Macaca mulatta: one gene and its partner. The protein of the gene in region 1 purifies or fractionates together with the protein of each later gene. This does not show direct contact. Links are inferred from orthologs where the notes say so. Each region holds a gene or a part of one and is shown on either strand. Other genes may lie near its edges.

Region 1 (3,500 bases):
TGGCTGCAAATGTACAAAAGTACAGAAATCTCAGCAGAATCTCTATAACCTAAAAACCCTTCTCTGCACTGAGTGGTCAACCCTCTCACAGGGCAGATGAGTCTCTGGCCCTGTCAATCTGTTGCTGGGTTTAGGGGAGCCTCGTGGAACCCGGGGTGAGCGAGGGTGCCGCCACCGGGCAGAACTCCCTCAGGCGATGAGTGTCGGGTGCCAACTGCGAGTTACACAACACGAGCTCTCCGGGCAGTAGGGAAACAAGGAAGAAAGCACTTACAGCGTGAGGCAGGCAGGGCTAGAGTCCCCAGGGGGCAGTTAGTAAGACAGTTTGGTTCTGGACAGAACAGACAGAGAAAGAAGAGAAAAGCAAGAAGGTTGGAAAGTGTTTTTTAAACAGGAGAACAATAAAGGTTTCAAGTCAGCAAGCCCGGAGGTAGAGGGCCGTCCCTCTCACTCAGGGACAGCCACCAGGAGAGACTTGCAGGCTCTCAGATCTAGCACATTCACTCCAAGGCAGGTGTGGGGAAGCGGCCGGGCGCTGGGCAGACAGGCCTGCCCTCTGCCATCTGCCCAGAGAGATGGAAACTCCAGGGAGGAGCCACAGACCTCCCTCCAGTTTCTATGCCGAGCCACCCTTTAGCATTTAACATTTCCAACAGCATTCTGGCAAACGGAGGTATGGAAATTGCATGACTGTTATCTAAAACAGAGACCTTTATTCGGCTGCGTTTGTTTTGGTCAAACCACCAAGCTACTGCCACTTACTCTAAAAAGTTCCCCTCATATTTTCCACTTAGGGGAGGGAGGAATAGCATTCCATTTTCAGATTGTTCCTTCTCTTCACACTAGAACTCCTCCTCACGGCTTCTCTCTGCACTGCTGAACTAGTGCCATGGTGTCGTGAGAAAAAGAGGCCTGAGTGGTTTCCGGAAGAGTGCAGTGAGAAAGGGAGATTGCCTGTCACCTGCGTCACTCCTGGGTCTGGATGCCTGAGTGAACATTCAGGGAGAGATTCCGCAGCAGGGCACGGGGTGGGCTTGGAATCAGAAGCAGTCCTGGGGATTTGGGAATGCATACCTAGAACTACTGCATAATTTATGGGGCAATGGGAAGGGGCTGCAGTGGCCCTAATATATTACATCAATTCAGGAATAATCCCACTGGAATCCAGAACAAGCAAAATTCCAACAGAAATGGAAAAAAAAGCCCGTGGCATTGAGATGCTGCCGATGAGTGCTCCGTGCCCGCTCTGAGTCCCTGCAACTGCGCTCCCTTCACGTCATCTCTTTTGGTGGCAAACACACCAAGTGAAGAGAAAATCTAAACGAATACTTTACGGAGGACAAAAGGGGTTGGGCCACTTTGTACTGATAAAACCATTTTCATGCCATGATGCTGGGATCCCATCATGAACCTGTTTTTGCTTGCAGGATTCACTATTAGTAATTCAAAGCATTTTTTGGTTCCTAAAAAACAATTTCTATTTGGTGTGTAATATAAATAGACAACACAGGCACAGCCGGTTAATGCTTTGTGACATAGCCTCAATGTCAACTGAAATCAGAGCCCTCGGGAGCCCTAAGAAGGCAGGGCATTCCCATATAAACAGACCTTTCTGCGGCAGCAGTACTTACCTGAGGACCCCAGAAGGATGGGGTGACAGTAGCCCAAAGGAGACACCATTTGTCACCTGAGAACATTCAACCAGCAGTTTGTCCTCAGAGCATGCAAACAACTTTATCACAAAGACTCAGATCTTGGAACATGTAGACCATGTAGCATCAATATTTATATTAGGTGTGAACCATGCGGAATTGCTATTTCTGTAAGTCACTGGCAGTTCCACAGGTTTGACCTATTCAGATTTGCAGCCTGCATTCTGAGTTAAACATTCACTAGTGGGCCGGACTGGGAAGCCAGCCATCATTTACCCTCTTGTGGGAAACATGGGCCAGGTGAAACAGGCAATACACCTTCTTCCTCTCCCTGCCCATGAAGCCAGGGCTGCTTGGGTCCTGGCGAGAAAGCAGCGGGCAGCCCAGGAGCATGCTGCCGTCCTCCTCCTCTGACCCCTACCATCTGCGGGAGCAGCCTGGCTGGGGGAGTGCCCATGGGGCCAGAGGTTCCCAGCGTGGAGCCTGTTCATCCAGACTCCAGGCGAGTTGGACTCACTCGCCAGACAGACACGTCCTCTCTGTGCTGCACAAACCACAAAGTGGCATCCCCATAGCCGTCACCACCAGCATATCATCAGGCTTTCATTTTGCTCCCTGTTTGTACAAAAACACCACAGGTAGATACGTATCAGAACCCAGTTCACAGTGGATTGATTTGTGAGTAGTATCAAGGGCAATAATGATAATCATATTGTATTAGGGCAGGATTTTGATTTTGCCTATTTGTTTCACTTGGTTTTACTGCTCAGGGGGCTCATGGCCACAAAGAGGGTAAGTGATTTGTGAGCTGCCAGATGGCTGTTTTGTAAGGAAGCCAGCCCAGGAATCGAGATCTTATGGCTCCTGATGAGATGTGCTCGTGCCCACGTTGTCCAGACCCTCTGCAGCTCACCTCATGCTGTCCCATATGAAGGTCTGCAGTATGCAGAAAGCCTGACACAACCATCCCATAGTTTGTACACATACACAAATTCACACAGAAAGAAGGCAAGCTATGACCCCAAATGAAACGCCCTGATAAGCAAGGATCAATCACTTAGACTGGTGACAGAACCCACATCAAATCGTGTACTATATGATTTCCTGAGGACAATAAAAGAACATTTTCTTTAGAAAAGTTCCTCAGGGTTTTTTCTGCCTATTCTATTCTCCCATAAACCCAACACCTCCCCAGCTCCCGACAACCAATCACGGACGATTCCTGAGATCAAATGACAGAGCACAATCCCAAATCCCAACCTGCCCCACAGCTAAAGGGAACAGCTGGCGGGGGAGGGTGTGGGGCACTCGGCGTTCATTACCTCCATGGGCCCTGGCTCGGCTGTGTCCCCCAGCGAGTGGCTGTCACTGTGGAGACCCGGGGGCCCGTAGGCAGCCTGCCTCCTCTCCTCCTTTAAGGCATGCTCCAGCAGCTTCTTGTTGAGGATCCGGGCCACGTTCTCAGTGAGTGTGTAGCCAGGGGGAGCAGATAAGTCCTGCCTCACTGGCGTGCCCTCTCCCCCTTCCTCCCTGCACATCTCTGAGCCCACCCCAATGGGGCTAGGTGACCTTCCTCGGGAATTGGTGCCTGTTTCCTGGCCTGGGGCCAGCTCCGGTGGGGGTTCTGCTGAGCGAGACCGACTGCCGGCCCGCAGCCCCTTCTGGAAGGGGTCCTGCACCACGGGGCTGTGGTCGATGATGTTGAAGAGGCTGGAGAGGCCATCATTGATGGTGGTGTGCACGGGGCTCTCCCTTGTGGTGGTGGAGCGGGCCCAGGCTGACTCACTGTACCCTTTCTGGGCCATCCCTGGTGACGTCCTGTTATTTGGCTGGTCAGCTTTGGGGAGG
Region 2 (3,500 bases), on another chromosome or scaffold:
CCCAGCACTTTGGGAGGCCAAGGCGGGCGGATCACCAGAGGTCGAGAGTCTGAGACCAGCCTGAGCAACATGGAGAAACCCCGTCTCTACTAAAAATACAAAATTAGCCGGGCGTGGTGGCGTGTGACTGTAATCCCAGCTACTCGGGATGCTGAGGTGGGAGAATTGCTTAAACCCAGGAGGCGGAGGTTGCGGTGAGTTGAGATTGCACCATTGCACTGCAGCCTAGGCAACAAGAGCAAAGCTCTGTCTCAAAATAATAAATAAATAAATAATAAAGTTTCATGTAAGTTTTGGGTGGCAGTGAGGGCATTGAAGCAGTTATGACCATGTTGCTACCATGACTTTGAGATGCAGTCTTCTCGCAGTCTGCACAAGCAGCATAGTGGGAAGTGGGGTACCGGCTCTCCCTCCTGAGCCAGACGAGCTGCTGTGTTGCCAGTGGAGGTTCAGGGAGCCAGTGATGGGACAGCTCTGCTCCTGAGCTTTGCCACCCACAGGACCTGGGCACTGGACCTTATGATGTGCTCCTTTGGAGTGAAGACTGGCTGTCATCTCAGCCCCCTCTCCTTTCTTCTCCTGTCCTATGTTTCTTCACATGCCTACCAGCCCCCTGGAGTCTGCCCCTGCACCCTCCTCCCTTACATATTTTGCAGAGAGTGTTTAGAGGACTGGAAGTGTAGCTTGTAATGGTATCTCTGTTTCTACCCTGCAGCCCACCTTGGGACACCTTGACTCCAAGCCCAGCAGTAAGTCCAACATGATTCGGGGCCGCAACTCAGCCACCTCTGCTGATGAGCAGCCCCACATTGGAAACTACCGGCTCCTCAAGACCATTGGCAAGGGTAACTTTGCCAAGGTGAAGTTGGCCCGACACATCCTGACTGGGAAAGAGGTGAGCACTGGGACTGGGGACATGGCAGCACCTCCCAGCCCTGTTGACACTCCAGCAGGTGGTGACGGGACTACTACTGCAGCCAACCTCTTGTTTATCCGGCAGAAATGAGATCTGACATATAGGGGTGCAAAAAGCTGTGGGATGAAAAGGAGTGCGAAATATAAAGGAGGAAGTAGATTGGAATCCTGGATTTTGCCTAGTCAGAGAAGTGATTTGGGGCTTTTTTGTCTCATCCTCAGGTAGCTGTGAAGATCATTGACAAGACTCAACTGAACTCCTCCAGCCTCCAGAAGGTAAGCACATGGCACCTGCTGTCCGTTTGTGTTTTGTTTTGTTTTGTTTTGTTTTGTTTGAGTCAGAGTCTCATTCTTGTCACCCAGGCTGGAGTGCAATGGCGTGATCTCAGCTCACTGCAACCTCCGCCTCTTGTTTTCAAGTGATTCTCCCACTGCAGCCTCCCAAGTAGCTGGGATTACAGGCACCCGCCACCACGCCTGGCTAAGTTTTGTATTTTTAGTAGAGATGGGGTTTCACCATGTTATCCAGGCTGGTCTCAAATTCCTGACCTCAAGTCATCCGCTCGTCTCGGCCTCCCAAAGTGCTAAAATTACAGGTGTGAACCACCGCGCCCAGCCCTCCTGTCCCTTTCTAAATCTCTCTTCTGGGGTCAATGATCTACTCACCCCATTTAGACCTCCTCTTGAATTCCTAGTTTAAATTTTCCGGCCATTTCACTCACCACCCCACATGGCTCTGCTACCTTAGGGGTTTTAGTTGAATCCTCTGTGGTGACTCCTCCTGAGTGGGTTTCCTGGCCACAGGCACTGGCTCTTGTGAAGTCTTTCTGTTCATTCCCAGCCGCTTGGCCTACCTGTCTGACCTACTTCCTGCATCTTGTTATCTTCTGGCTTGCGGCCAGCCCTATGCAAAAACACATGTTTGTAGCCACTACTAGAAACACATGCAGCTACTTCAAGATCTGGAATGATCCAGGGCAGTGGCTTTAGAAATACAAGAATAAGAGGAAACAGGGAACCTGCAGCTGGGTTCTGTGCCAGCTACATTTTAGAGAATGAGCTCCAGCTCAAATTTTCTCAACAAAACCTAGTTCTGTTCATCTTGTGGCAAATCAGATATTTTCTCCGTAAGCATATTGTGGTAGTTGAGTTAGGAGAAGGCATGATTCGTGCTAACATTAGAGTCAGATACAGTGATACTGGGAACCTTAGGAGTAGGGGCTGAGGATTGTTGTTGAGGGCAATGCTCATGGAATTAGAGTGGATGAGTTGTTCCCCTGACGTGCAAATAGCCAGAACCAAGGTGTTTCCTATTTATTGTTACCCCTGGGATCCCTTCAAGGGTTCTTCAGTTCAGTGGAATCATTGCTGTCATCACCAGGGTGTCCTTGCTTGGAGCTTTCCAGGAGGAAGGGAAAAAGGGCTGCTCCTGACATACTGGCTGCAGCCCCACAGAAGAAGTCAGCGTGGGATGGGCCATTTGGCCTTGGGAGCAGTCTAACCTGCCATCGTAATAATCGCCAGTCCACCAAGCCATCTTACTCCCTACCTTGTTTTTCTCCCTAATTCTTCCTGACTCTGTGGAAGGCACCAACACCGGACAAATAGAGCCATTTTCAAAACCTTTTGAGACTCTGTTACTAAAGCCAGTCTGATTCTGGCCAAAAATGTGATCTCAGCAATAATCCCTAAAAAATGAACATCGAAGAAGCTAGCCCCCTCAGGGGTCTAGATGAGCCCAGAAAACCCCAAGTTCTCCCAGAAGAATGCCACTTCCATGCCAGGTGAGCAGCCTTAGGGGAAGAAACCTTGGCAGTTGCCTCTGGCCCCATTTCAGTGCTGCTCCCCATTACCACCCCAGAGGGTGGTAGCGAGGCTTTTTGCCTCTTCTTCCAAAATATCTGTTGGGCCAGGGAAAAAAGTAAGAAAAACCTAGGCTCTTATAAAGGGTAAGGTCAGCATTGGGTTCCTGAAGATTGGAAAGCCTTTTTCTTCTTTTGTGTTCTAGCTCAGGAAAGCTCTGGGGCATCATTAAAGGGGAAACAAATGTATTCACTTTATTCCATAAACCATATCTTGAATTAGGGCTTCCCCTACCCCCCCCCAAACAAAAACAACAACAAAAACTAGTTCTGCTCTTTGTGCAAGTGATGAGGCCTGGAATTACAAAAAGCCCCACCTCCAGTTCTCTGGCCCCCGCAGAGGGGAAAGAGTTCATTTCTGTCATCTGTCTTTATGAAAATACATGGTTTGGAGCCCCTGGTTTTGTTTCACAAAGAGAGCGTGAGTGTGTGGAGGTGGATTTGATTAAAATTGGCATCAGCTATATATAGGAGTGGCTTCTTCTGTCACCACCCTGGAGGCCCAGGAAGGAAAGGCCTATCCCCTGGAACAGAGCCCTCTGACTACTGTAAATCAGAAAATGATGGGGTCCCCCTCTGGTGCTCCACCACCCCTTTACACAGACCAAGCTGGGGTGTGTACTGTCACTGAACCAAGGCAGCAGCTCGGGTTCTGAATATTCACGCACATGGGCTCACACTCCCTCCAACAGAGGCACCCAGCCAAAACCCGCCTGCTGTTTT

The links. The genes of interacting proteins can lie anywhere in the genome.
Region 2: the proteins of MTCL1 (region 1) and MARK2 purify together in Homo sapiens (affinity purification with mass spectrometry; 5 studies listed by BioGRID and IntAct, with this or other methods). This does not show direct contact. The link is inferred for Macaca mulatta from reciprocal best matches to the Homo sapiens genes MTCL1 and MARK2.

What each region holds. Positions count from the first base shown.
Region 1 is NC_133423.1:79,860,082-79,863,581, reverse strand, and holds part of MTCL1 (microtubule cross-linking factor 1), read right to left. Parts: coding exon 2,975-3,500; intron 332-2,974; coding exon of another isoform or gene 293-331; exon of another isoform or gene 275-292; intron 1-274. UniProt on the Homo sapiens protein: Microtubule-associated factor involved in the late phase of epithelial polarization and microtubule dynamics regulation.
Region 2 is NC_133419.1:10,518,610-10,522,109, reverse strand, and holds part of MARK2 (serine/threonine-protein kinase MARK2), read left to right. Parts: intron 1-715; coding exon 716-895; intron 896-1,137; coding exon 1,138-1,191; intron 1,192-3,500. UniProt on the Homo sapiens protein: Serine/threonine-protein kinase. Involved in cell polarity and microtubule dynamics regulation. Phosphorylates CRTC2/TORC2, DCX, HDAC7, KIF13B, MAP2, MAP4 and RAB11FIP2. Phosphorylates the microtubule-associated protein MAPT/TAU.